2 linked regions of the Alligator mississippiensis genome follow. Each later gene encodes a partner of the first gene's protein in a complex. Links are inferred from orthologs where the notes say so. Each region holds a gene or a part of one and is shown in the gene's direction. Other genes may lie near its edges.

Region 1 (7,828 bases):
CACCTTCCACCCTCACCCTCTCAGTCTGTTTCTTTCACTTTCTCTCAGCAGGGCTGGGACTAGACAAAATTAACAGTAATAATGCTTCCACTTCCTCGTCAAATCCCCCACCCCCAAACCTCACAAAGCAAAGCCAGCAGCATTGTCTCTTTTATGGTACATAGTGCGCTCAGCACCAAGCCCTGCTCTTCTGGTATCGAACTAGGACTCACCGCACTCCAGGGCTCCTCACAGAAACACCGGGCAGAAGGGCTCCTTCCCCTTCAGGGTCTGTCTGTCTGTCTGTCTCTCTGCCTGGTGGAGATGATTTTTTTGTGCTGCAGCCGGAGCTGGAGCTTCCTGTGCCGCCTTGTGAGTCCTTTCATCACCAGCTGCTGCCTGTGATTGGCTCACTGCTTCTTACACTCCAGTCTCCTTTGTGTGAAGCAACCTACAGCCCGACCTCCCCCAGCCCCTGGAGTCCCGTGCTCCCCCACTTCCATTCTCTTGCTCTCTCTCCACCAACTCACCCCCCCCGCCCCCTTGCCAGCCCTCTCAAATCAAAGTTGCTTCCCTGACCTGTGTGTATTGGGAGCATTGCCCAAGGAAACAGGCATGGGGCACACACCAGGGGAACATGCCCCATTTTCCTTCTCACTCACTACTAACACAGATGCCAGCAGTTACTCGCTGTCCTTGGCATTTCCCCAGTCTGCCTGCTGTTCTCCTTCATGACATTATGGGCCTGGGCTGGGCTACCCATAGCCACAGTGTTGGGGTGACCCTTAGCAGGTACACAGGCCCAGATTCAGCCTGCTCAGAACAATGCTCCTGCCAGCTCCCTCCCTTAGCTCTGTTCCTGCACAGACTTTCCATGTTCCTGATGTCGGGAAATAAGGTTCCCAAAGCTCAGGAGACCTAGATGATCCCACACTCACACCAAAGCATTGTCCCCAAGGAACCCCTTCTCCTCAGGGGGCAAGAGAGATGCTCCCTTCCTCAGGCTCTGAGAAGGTGTCTAACACAGCTCCCCTCCCAGTCAGCAGAAAGGGGAGGGGGACAGGATCCCTCTCTCCTGTGCTTCCTCAGCTCTTGAGGAGCTGAAATAACTGCGACAATTTGGGGATCCATATGCAGCTTATGATTTTGAATTTCTACATAGCCTGTGGTCTTTTGTATTATGACCTTCTCTCCTTTTGCACTACCTCATGTTCTTGTGCTCCAATGACAGGGAGAGGTGCCTGTCTGCCTACTCATGAATAGTTTGATCCTTAAAGACTATGAGCAGCTTAATAGATCTTGCTTGGGAAAACCAAAAAAGAAATGTAATCTCAGCTAAGTCCATTGCTTCCAACTTCTCTGCAGAAGGGTGGAAATCTGAAGGAACTGAGTTGCCCTAGAAACTGGACAAAAAACCCACCCAGTGCGGTGCTAGAATCTAAAAATTCAGAGGGATTCATGGGCAGGAGAGAGGATAAAAGGGGTATGTTTCATAGCAATCAGGTCCTTCTGGAACCACCTGAAGATGAGGGAAGCTGGCTGAAATGACGGAAGAGAGGAAGAAACTCCATAATTCAAAGGAGAAGCCAGGTGCTAGATGAGGAAATTGGGACTCTGACCAAATCCCAAAGATTGCTCAGGAGCAGGGGGAAAACCCATTAGGACCATAATGCAATAATGACACCACAGAAACAGTTCCTCGCTGGGATCCTTCATAAATTTGCAAAGCAAATTCCCCCATAGTTCCCCTGGAGAGAACTGAACAAAGCATGAATTTTAAAGTAGACTTTGGAGGTGAGTACAGCCAAGTCACAGCTCGTGTTTATAAAGTGATTAGCAATCAGCACACCAAAGCACAAACAAACAAACATATTAAGATAAAAGCTGAGTTTCCTTCCTAAAACAAGATACCAAATGTAGCAGGGAGACACTGATACTTCCCCATGAAGTCAGCCACCACTCAAAACAGCTTGAAAATGTGGTGCAGGATGCCAGAAGGGCTTGCAACTACAGAAGACCTAATGAGTAAGTGATATGTCTACAGAACAAAATGAATAAGCATTCTCAAAGAATTTATGGAGGTGTTTCCTGGATTAGGATACCAAAGCAATGTACTGTGTCCCTAGATTTCCACTGTATTGCCAAAGATACATGTGGCATGTAAAGAACATCACCACTGATGGGAAGTAAAAGCTGAATGTGTTTGGACTGTAAAATTAGATACAGCTAAGCAAATACAGACTCAAATGCCTTGGTTAACTAGGTGTCACTGTAACAGCCACCTGAAAGTGAGAGAGTAGGCGAGCTTTGCATAATACACAGTGCCTTTGCAGGTGGTAACAAGTGTGAGAAGAGAGCTCAAGAAGGCCCTGGGAGAGAAGGTGAAGATTACAACAGAACTACAACACATGATGCAAAGAATCCCAGAAATCAGATAAGATTCTTGGTAGTCCCTGGTGCAAGGCTGGTGCAAAATTACCAGAAACTTAAAAAGGTATCATTCTGAGCCTCTTGCTGGTGGACAACTCATTTTTTTTAATTGAACAGTTGCAAAACATACCAAGTAACTAGCAATAACACATTACAAACTGTGGTTTGCTCACTATGGGATTTCCCATAAGAGATAAGAAAAGGGCCTAGAATTCCCAAGGGGTCATTTCAAGGATTCTCTGGGATGTATTGGTTCAAGTACATTATGTCAAGGCCTGAGCTTAAAGCCAAATAGATCAGCAGGAAAGTCGGTAAAAACAGCAAAGGACTTGAGATGACATCCTGGCTTCATCCTGGATCCTTCATTGTTTTAATGGGGCTGGGATTTTCTTTTTGACTTAAAAATAAAAAGCAGTGGATATAGAGTGGGTCAGTCCTTAACACTGTTTTAATATCACAACATGCCTCAAAATGCTTTTTGGGGCATAAGTTCAGAAACTCATGGGCAGAACATCAAAAGAAAATATCAACATCTAAGTATCCTGAGTCAAAGGCAATTAACCTGAAGGAGTTAAAATCAACATGTGCCTCGGCATCCAGAACAGAAAAAATAATGCCCAGCAGCTGAGGTCATGGGAAGTTGGACTGCAATGCTGGCTTTCAAAGAGGTGTCCTGTAACCTGCAGAGGTACAACTGGACCACCACCCAGATGGTAGGTCATAATAACCAGTTAGGGACAATCCTACAGGAGAAACAGAAAACAGCTACAAAATTAGGAGGCTGGCTCTATCCATGGTGCTTATCTGGCCCTATAATCTTCCATTTGAGCACACCACTAACACACTTATGCATGCAATCCCCTGGGAGATAAGGCAGTAATAATATCCCCATTTCTCAAAATGGAGACTGAGGCACAGAGAGGCTAAGTGACTTGCCCAAGGTCACACTGGGAGCCTGTGGCAGTGGAGGGAATTAAACCTAGCACTCCAAAGTGCCAGGGCTGCGTCCTTGCCCCTTGGCCACCCTTCCCATCCCTGGCCTCTGTTCCATGAAGACATCCAGGATGTGTGTGACATTGGGAGTTGAGAAAGGAGACACCTCCTCCACCCTCTCACTGACAGTGCAAAAAATGAGAAGCAGCAACACACCTTCCCCAGGGTGTGACAATGTCCTCTCCCCACCCCACCATCATGTGAGGGGAGAGTTTTGCAGAAGGAACCCGATGAGAAAAATGCAGTGGGTCTTTTCAGAGACCCCCTGCTGCTAGTGGCAGCAGATGCTGATGGTCATCCAGCAGGAGCCAGATCAGGGAGTCCAGGAGCAGCGTCCTTCAGCCAGGGTCTCTGCTGCCCTTCACTGTGGGTCAGCATTTCCATCTGTGCAAGACAGGGTGCAAACTGCTTTGCACTCCTCCGGCATTGGTGGAAATGACAGCACAAGGTGCAGGCAAATCAGCCCCCTTAAAGTCTCTTCTCCCAGACAGGGGATGCAGGGCAGCCCCAGCATTACGTCCCATGCCCCTGGGCAATTCAGGGCACGGGACCCACCCTCCTAGCCTCAGCATGACCCATTCCTCCACAGCAGTCCTCACAGCATCCAGTTACACTCCAGACACACACTCAGCTCTGCTACTTGTTGCTATGGCGATGAGCAAGGGGCCGACTCGACTAGTGCAGGCTGAAACAGCAGAGCCTGGACGAGCTTGAGGGAATGGAGGGGCAGGGGGATACACCCTGCTTCCCCTGACTCACGCACCTGCCTGCCTTCCCTGCCTCCTCCAGCCCCACAAACACCCTGAGCTGAGGGCCACCTTACAAGCATGCAGCTGCGGGGAGATCTCCCTGCTGCTAAGAGTCCCCGAGTCTCCATCGCTGCGATGTCCATTTCCCGGCTGCTCCTGGCACCTTATGTGGCCCCGACGCTTCTCCCCACCTCGGGGGTTTCCAGCACTAAAGTGAGAGGGTTAACGAACATTTCGGAGCTGCGGCTGAAAGTGACTGGAGCGGAGAGGTGCTTGGGCAGCTGAGAGCTGGGCGCTAAGTCCCCAAATCCTCTGCAATCAGTGGGGTTGATGGAAACAGAAATTTCCAACAGCGCTTTATCAAAAGAAAACCCTGCGGGGCTGCAGGGGACAGCGCTGTGCCACGGCCCGCTGAGGGCAGCCCCGACTCCGGCCGCAATTGGACGTCTGTCTCCCCGCAGCCTCCCAGCGGGGCCTGCCCGCGGGACCAGGCCGCACCCTGCGGGCGGGCGCCGGCTCCCCTCCTCCCACCAGGGGGCGCCCGCACCCCGCCCCGCCCTGCCTCGGGCCGCCCCTCCTCCTCGCCGCGCGGGGGCGCTGCCGCGGCGGCCGCTTCCGCCCGCTTGTCCGGCGGCCCCACTCTTCGCCCCGGCCGGGAAGATGGCAGACGAGGCTCCGGTCTGCAGCTTCGTGTTCCGGCGGCGCGGGCCGGCAGCCGGCAGGGGCCGGCGCAAGCGGCCGGGCAGCGACCAGGAGGCGGGTGAGGGGCCGCGGCCGGCACCACTCCGCCAGGGGGGGCGGGCCGTACCACTGCCAGCGCCGGGCTCTGGCTGCGGGCCCACCCCGGGAGGAGGGCGTTCGGACTGTCCCACTGCAGGCGGGGGGAGGAGGGGTTCCTAAGCTGTGCCATTATCATTGGCGGTGCGGACCATACCATCACCACCGAGCGGTGGCGCGTTCTGGGCTGTGCCCCTGCCACTGGGGAGGGGATTTTGGGCTGTACCATACTCTCTGGGGCCGTCCTCGCTTGAAGGCAGGTGGTTCTGGGACATCCCATTCTCACTGCGGGGGGGGGGGGTCTGGACTGAGCCACTGAGCGCAGGGGTGGGGACTCCAGCAGGGCTGGGAGTGGTGGCGCCTGGCCATGATGCCCCCCGAGCCTGGGACAGCAGGGCGGCCCGCTCGGGCTGGCTTGACACCTGATGGCCGCTTTGCCCACAGGGAGCAGCAGCGATGAGGGCAGCGCAGTGGTGCGCAAGGAGCGGCGCCGGGATGCCCCCAACCCCATGGTCCAGAAGGTAATGGCTGCCCGCGCCGCGGTGCAGGCACGGGGCATCTTGCCAGCTGGCCCAGCCCCACCCAGGACTGTGAAAAGCCCCAGGGAAGAGCTGGGCACCACGGCACTTGGGGGCTTTTCCCTCGTGCACAGGCGGGAGCTGACATCAGCCGGCTCACCCTGGCCCTCGCTGCGGCTGTCTGCAGCCACTGCTCCCTGCCCTCGCGTGGCTTGTCTTTTAGTCCTCAGACATCTGAGGGAGCAGAGGCCTCAGCGGGGGGTGTGCAGCTGCGCGGGTGGGGAGCCACACACAGTAGCTGCAGGCCTTGGGTGTCTCACGTGACCCCAAATGTCCCAGTCCGGCGCGGGGCAGATGCCACAGTTGCACTCGTGACAGAACTCGGTTCACGTGTGCGGGTGACGTTAGCCCCTGGATCGCTGCACTGGCTGGGGTGGGAAGTAAACAGAGGGACGCACAAGCCTTTGGCTTGGCAAGCACACCCCTTGGATCTGAAGCAAACCTGTCATTTGTTCCTGTGATGGAACAGGCGGGATGGGCCGGGGTTGAGGGTTCGGGCACTGTGACTGCATTGCCCCTTGCTCGCTGGTCTATGAACTACCTCCTACCACCAGTAGCTGATGGTGGCCTACGGCCGAGGAAGGGCACTGGGGGCTGCACAAAGGTTTTCCTCCTTTTCTTCCATGTTTCGGCCTTTCTTGTTCAGAATCGCCCTGGGCATCTTTAGGAGCCTGGGTCATTTTTCAGGCAGTGTTGGTCTACTGCAGCTTTACATCTCATGTCTCTGTGTCCTCAAGGAGGCCACCCTTCTAGCAGCTCGTCTTAGATGTAAGGGTGTCCTTATATTGGGCCAAACAGTGACGCCATTAGACATGTCATACTGCTCTGTGCCCACTTCCCTGTCCCCAAACCAGGTGCACTGTAGCCTGAACTGCTGTATTTGCAGTATCTGCGTACTCCACGAGTTGCGAGCCTGAGTTCTAGATACTATTATGCAAAGGTCTTTCACTTGAGAGAGAGGACCCATGTATGCATGTGGTGTGGAGGTGTGATCCTGGTATCTGTAACTAGAATGCTCCCCTTTCCCACTGTTGTGCTACTTGCTTCCTTTCCACAGTTTAGTGATAGTTTAGTGATTTGTGCAGAGCCTGATCCTGATGAGACCTGAGTGCCCAAAGTTTCATTAATTTGCCTCCCTGGGCTATAGTTCTGTCTGTAGCCAGCATGGAGTCAGCTCATTAGGGATGGCCTCCCCCGTGGGAGGAGGGCCTCTTGTGTCTGGGTGTTGTGTTCCATTTCCCAGTATTAAATTTTCAGTGTTTTTCTCTCCCCCTGCAGACCCAGAGAAGCGTAAAGGAGAAGACCTCATATGGGTCGAACAGCAGCAGCGATGAGGAGGCATCGCAAGGTGTCGGAGTCGCTTACAAATCAACACGATCAGCGGTGAGGAGAGTACAGTGCTTACGTTTGAAGGGGGCATGGCTGTAGGTTCAGTAGAGCCCAAAGGAGCTAGCTGGTCACCTTGTCTGCCCTCTGGCAGAGTATAAAACTGGGCATCCTCAGGAGAGCTACTGGAGACACTCTTGCCCTGAATGGGAATTTTGGTTGCTTTATCCTGGTCCCATGCCCTGGTTTTATGGCTCTGTTGAGTGCTTCTCTTGTGTGTTCGCCTCTTCGAGAGCTTTCCCAGCCTTGCAGGGCCAGAGTGTCTGATAGCCTTTAATGGAGTCATCCTTGCGATGGTCCTGTGAGGCAGGGCAGGATTTACACAAGGGAAGCTGAGGCCCTTCCAGGATGAGTGACTTGCCCAGGGTCACACAGGAGGTTGGCAATGAACCAGGAGCTTGGAGCCAGGTGACCTGAGTCGGAAGCTAGTGCCTTGCCCCTCCAGGCAACTCTTCCTGTTTGAGCCCTTCACAAGGGGGAATGGTAATTTTATTCCTGCTCTACTAATGGGGAAACTGAGGCACAGAGAGACAAAGTAACTGTCCGAGGATTGTGTAACCAGTTGGTGGAAGAATGGGAAACAGAACCTAGGCATCCTCCAGTGGCCTAATCACGCAACTGAAAACAGAGGGTGGTGGAGAGGTTACAAGTCCTTACATTAGACACAACTCTTCTCAAATGCGTAATGAAATGTATAACTTCCTGTGATGTTGGAAATCCAAGCAGCTGTATCTTGTTTCACTGCCTGGCCTTGAGTGTACCACATGACACAAAGATAGATCAATTCGATCTGGGTTAAATAACACCAGGAGGTGATTGTAAGGGCCTCTTCAGTGTCCTTATTGTTTCTGTGTTGAGGCTGGCTTCAGAATATGGTGGTAGGATGGGCTGTGGACAGGAGGAAAGGCCCATGGGGTTCATACTGCACAGATCCCC
Region 2 (5,342 bases), on another chromosome or scaffold:
GACCTGTCCAGCTCCAAGTGGCCAAGAGGAGGCCCCTCATGGCCGCTGGGTCGGGCCCAGAAGCTGGGCCAAATTGTCAGCGGGGGAAATGCTGCTGGTCTCAATCCAGAGCTCCAGCCTCTGGAGATCCCCCCCCACCCAGGGCTTCACGGGCGAGCGCTGGCCAGGATTGGGGCACCAGGGTCCCCAGGCAGCGTCAGAGAAACTCTCCCGAGGAGCTGGTTCAAACCAGTTGCCGGGTACTTACAGCACAGAGAGATCGCGCTCCTCTGCCCCCAGCCCCGCCAGCACCCCCGGGGCCAAGTGGGGTTCAGTCCCTCCTACACCTCGTCCTGCTCAGATCTCAGCCCTGGGGTAGGACCCGGTTCACCTCCATCCCGGGACCCGCAGCTCAAAACCCCACATTTCCCAGCTCCGGGGTTTTGCTTTTTGGTTTTATTTGTGAACAAAGCCGATCACCGAACCCCAGACGAGCGGCGCGCCCAGCCCCCCGCGCACGTGCCAGGCTGAGAACGGGTCGGGGAAGAGCCCAGGGCCGTGCCCAGAGGTGTCTCTCGGCATCCCCTGGCTCCTCCACCTCTCTGTCCATGCATTTCTTTTTTGCATTTCATTTTGCTTTTGCATTTCTTCCCTGCTTAAAGCCCCCTCACCTCCGGGTCTTTTCCCCTCCGGACTATGCATAGCACGGATCTCCGGCTCCGCTGCCCCACCGATTTCAGAGGCAGGATTTCGTAGGGCCGCGTCCGCCGTCCCTGCAGGCAGACGAGCTTTCCAAAGCAAAACCTTCTTCCCGGGGTCTCCGCTACCGCTTCAATGGTCTCCAGGTCCATTCTGTCTCCCCTCGAACTTGCCCTTTCCTTCAGTCACTGAACGTCTCTCAAATGTCTCCGTTCGGAAAAGATCCTTTTTTTTCAAGCTAATTCCAAATATTTCTAAGCCAGCGGCTTCTTCTTTGCCTTCTCCCTGGCAGCACGTGGACCTGCTAAGAGAGCTCCCTGGCTAAAAACTCCCTGAGCTCTTGGAAACGCGGCCTTGCGCGTCTCCCCGCTGCACGACGAGTGATCGGGTCCTCGTGACTCTTGTACGTGGCCGACGTCCCGGGACGGAGCAGCAGGGACACGAGGGGTCTCCTGGGCTGATAAAGGCATTTCTCTCTCCCCCTTTCAAACCAACGGTGGAGAAACTCCGTGGACTGGACCTGAAGGAAGGAAGGAAGGAGACTGGTTGAAAAGAAGAGTTTCTTTCTTTTTTCTCCCGTCTCTGGGTCGAGATTTTGGTCATTCTCTGTACCCTGCGAACAGTGAAAGCTTCTCCTAGGATTTTTATAGTGTAGAAATTGTGTATCATTTTATTGTGTATAAAAATTATGCAACCTTTTTACTGTGCATAAATTGTGAATCATTTTTATTGTGTGTAAAATTGTATAGCATGTTTACTGTGCATAAATTGTGTATCATTTCATTGCGCATGTATTGCGTATTGTTTTTATTGTATATAAGTTGTGTGCCATGTTTATCGTGTATAAAAATTGTGTAGGGGTTTTATCGTGTGTACATTGTGCGTTATTTTATAGTGCACATATTGCGTATCATTTTGATTGTGTATATATTGTGCATCACTGCACCATCCGGCTCGTTTCTCGCTATCCCGAGGCCAGGGTGTGGGTGGGGGGCGGACTCACTTGCGTTGCCTCTGAATGGGTATGTGGGAGCCCCGGTTGTCCGGGGACCCGTCTCCCCAGATCCTGGCCTTTATTTCCCGTCGGGTTTGAACGGCGACCGGGCAGGACGGGGGCGAGCGGCACACCCAGCAGCGCGGGGAGCACGTGGCCCGAGCCCAGCGCAGCTCTGTGCGTTCCCGTATTGCCTCACGTACAACGCGCCCCAGAATAGAAGACACCCCTTCTCCGGAAGGGCAGGACGAAGAACACGTCCCCTTGTACAAGCAGAGCCGCGGCGAGGGAGGCTTTCCTCCGCGCGGATCACGGACAAGTTTACGTCCGTGTTACCCAACCAGTGTCAGAAATCGATCTTACCGTATTTCTTGCATACGAGACACACCCCGACTGCCTGTTTTTTTCACGGAGGGGGGAGTGCATGGGGTATGCAAGAAGATATAGCATTTCCCAGGTTCCCAGGGACCCCAGAAGACTGCTCTTCCGGCCCCCGGATTAATTGCTCGTCACTGCCTCCTTAAGAGGCCCCGGCCCTCGGGGATGGGGTTACAGGAGCCGCCTGTCAGGGCGGGCTGGAGTGACAGCCCGGGGCTCGTTAAGCAATCACCTGCTCTCGGGTTTCGCTGGCGCGCTTGACCCCCGCGCCCTCGGCACCGCAGGCCAGCGAGGATCCCGGCGAGCAGCTGGCCCCGCGGGGGCGCTGGGGCAGGCATCACTCACCGGGCGCCAAGAGGCGGCACATCTGGGGCGCGGAGGGCAGCTGTTTAGACAAGCGTCACTCAGCCGGGGCCAGACCGCAGCCACCTCTGGGGGGGCCGGGCCCGGCTCCGGTCAGCTCGGACCGTTCGCATGCGCAGGGCTCAGATGCGGCCACCTCTGGGGGGCAACAAGTAGCTGCTCGCACCGGCACTGAATGACCTTGACCCCCCCCGGCACGACCTGGCCCCGGCCTGCCCGAGGGGCCACGCGCCGACCGGAGCCCATGGGGCGAACGTGGGGGCGGTCGCTGCCTGGAGCCCGCGGACAAGCGGGACCTGGGGCCGGAAGGTCCGTGCGGGGCCGCGGCTGCCCTGTCCGGTCCCGTCCCTACTGCGGGCAGTGGGGGCAGTGGGGGCGCTGCGCGGGGGGACAAGGGGGGCAGTATGGGGCGCTGTGCAGGGGGGTAAGGGGGGGGCAGTGGGGGCGCTGCGCGGGGGGACAAGGGGGGCAGTATGGGGCGCTGTGCAGGGGGGTAAGGGGGGGGCAGTGGGGGCGCTGCGCGGGGGGACAAGGGGGGCAGTATGGGGCGCTGTGCAGGGGGGTAAGGGGGGGGCAGTGGGGGCGCTGCGCGGGGGGACAAGGGGGGCAGTAGGGGGCGCTGTGCAGGGGGGCAGTAGGGGGCGCTGTGCGGGAGGGGCAAGGGGGGCAGTAGGGGGCGCTGTGCGGGAGGGGCAAGGGGGGCAGTAGGGGGTGCTGTGCGGGGGGGCAGTAGGCGGACAGTAAGGGGCGCTGTGCAGGGGGGTAAGGGGGGGGCAGTGGGGGCGCTGCGCGGGGGGACAAGGGGGGCAGTAGGGGGCGCTGTGCAGGGGGGCAGTAGGGGGCGCTGTGCGGGAGGGGCAAGGGGGGCAGTAGGGGGCGCTGTGCGGGAGGGGCAAGGGGGGCAGTAGGGGGTGCTGTGCGGGGGGGCAGTAGGCGGACAGTAAGGGGCGCTGTGCAGGGGGGTAAGGGGGGGGCAGTGGGGGCGCTGCGCGGGGGGACAAGGGGGGCAGTAGGGGGCGCTGTGCAGGGGGGCAGTAGGGGGCGCTGTGCAGGGGGGCAGTAGGCGGACAGTAAGGGGCGCTGTGCAGGGGGTAAGGGGGGCAGTGGGGGTGCTGTGCGGGGGGGCAAGGGGGCAGTATGGGGCACCGTGTGGGGGGGCAGTAGGGGGTGCTGTGCGGGGGAGCAAGGGGGAGCAGCAGGAGGTGTGGGTGCAGGGGGTAGCGGAGGGGGGGGTCGCCTGGGGGTCCCCCCTGGCCGTGGGGGGGTGGGGGTCAGTGCATTGGGAGGGGAGGCAGAACCAGACGCCGCTTCGCGCTCCGAAGCCTCTTGACCCCGCCGCGCTCCCGTAACCGCATCCGACCCCGCGACCGCCTCGCGCGCTCGCGCTACATGACTCCTCCGCCGCCCCGTACTTGTAGGCCAGCTCGGACACAGTTCCGCGTTCCACGATCTCTTGGCTCCGCCGCCGCCCCGTAGGTCCACCCGGAAGTGGGTCCAGGCCTTGGTGACCCGGAGGCGGAAGTCGGTGGGGGAGACCCGGGAGCGGCGGCGCGCGTGCTTGGGACCGGGAGCGGTAGAGCAATGTGAGGGGGGCGGGGGACTGGGACCAGGGGGAGGCAAGGAAGGGGGGGGTGGAGTCGCCAAGGAGGGGGAGGGGGGGTCCGGGTGGAGACGCCCCCCCGAGACGCCCCAAGGCGGGGGCCCGAGCCGTGGTGCGCCCGCGTGCACCCGGCCGAGCTGCCCCCCCCGCCCCCCAGGAGTCTGCTGAACAAGCCGAAGAGCGAGATGACGCCCGAGGAGCTGCAGAAGCGCGAGGAGGAGGAGTTCAACACGGGGCCGCTGTCCGTGCTCACGCAGTCGGTCAAGAACAACACGCAGGTGCTCATCAACTGCCGCAACAACAAGAAGCTGCTGGGCCGCGTCAAGGCCTTCGACAGGTAGGGGCCGCGGGGATAGGGGGGCTGCGCCCGCCCGCCCGCCCGCGCCACGGCCCTGACCCCCGCCTCCCCCCAGACACTGCAACATGGTGCTGGAGAACGTGAAGGAGATGTGGACCGAGGTGCCCAAGAGCGGGAAGGGCAAGAAGAAGTCGAAGCCGGTGAACAAGGATCGCTACATCTCCAAGATGTTCCTGCGCGGCGACTCCGTCATCGTCGTGCTGCGCAACCCCCTCATCGCAGGCAAGTGACCTGCCGCCGCCCGCCTGGGGAGGGGTCCGCCGCCCCCCCTCCCCGGGGTCGGTCACCCCGAGGCCTGGGCCGCCTCGGCCCCTGCCAGGCTGCAGACCGCGGCTAGGACTCTTTCCACCCCCCCCCCCCTTGGTTTTGGCTACTAATTAAACTATGTGATTTGTTGCCCCGTCTGGTTTCCTGGGGGAGGGGGCAGGGAGGGGCCTGTCTTGACATCCGGCTCCTCACACCTTCACCCCCCCCATCTAGACGGCCTCCTCCCCAGAGCCAGCTGCGGGGGCTGGGGAAGAGCCAGCAGGTGCAGTGGTTCCAGATCTCCCCGCCCCCAACGCAAGCCAGACCCTGGCGTGCATTCACCGACGCGTCGCTAGCAAAACCAGGGAGGTCCTCCCGTTTGACTCGGCCTTAGCGAGGCCCGAGCTGGAGTACTGCGGCCAGTTTTTGGCCCCCCACTCCAGGAGGGATGTGGATAAGCTCAGGACAGACCAGACAAGAGCCGCCCACCATCCGAGGCCTGGAGGGTAGGCCCTACGAGGACAGGAGAGGAGAGGAGAGGCTGAGGGACTTCGCCCACTTCATCCTGGAGAAGAGAAGGCCTGGGGGGGGACATGACTTGGTGGCTGCCTGTCAGCACATAAGGGGGGAGGTGCAGCGGGCTCTGGGAGGACAGTTGCTCACCAGGGCTCCCCAAGAGAGAGCAGTCCAACAGCCACAAACGTCGAGCAGGCCCACTCAGACTC

What was found. Proteins that work in one complex are often made in the same cells at the same time.
Region 2: E3 ubiquitin-protein ligase RNF113A (region 1) and SNRPD2 share a complex: the UniProt entries of both Homo sapiens proteins name them as parts of the minor spliceosome. The link is inferred for Alligator mississippiensis from reciprocal best matches to the Homo sapiens genes RNF113A and SNRPD2.

Annotation. Positions count from the first base shown.
Region 1 is NC_081827.1:158,641,982-158,649,809, forward strand, and holds the start of E3 ubiquitin-protein ligase RNF113A, read left to right. Parts: upstream 1-4,782; 5' UTR 4,783-4,811; coding exon 4,812-4,911; intron 4,912-5,372; coding exon 5,373-5,449; intron 5,450-6,784; coding exon 6,785-6,889; intron 6,890-7,828. Other genes in the region: LIMD2 (LIM domain-containing protein 2), read right to left, coding at 4,226-4,294. UniProt on the Homo sapiens protein: Required for pre-mRNA splicing as component of the spliceosome. As a component of the minor spliceosome, involved in the splicing of U12-type introns in pre-mRNAs. E3 ubiquitin-protein ligase that catalyzes the transfer of ubiquitin onto target proteins.
Region 2 is NC_081838.1:499,640-504,981, reverse strand, and holds SNRPD2 (small nuclear ribonucleoprotein Sm D2), read left to right. Parts: upstream 1-3,888; 5' UTR 3,889-3,994; coding exon 3,995-3,996; intron 3,997-4,170; coding exon 4,171-4,350; intron 4,351-4,426; coding exon 4,427-4,601; 3' UTR 4,602-4,767; downstream 4,768-5,342. UniProt on the Homo sapiens protein: Plays a role in pre-mRNA splicing as a core component of the spliceosomal U1, U2, U4 and U5 small nuclear ribonucleoproteins (snRNPs), the building blocks of the spliceosome.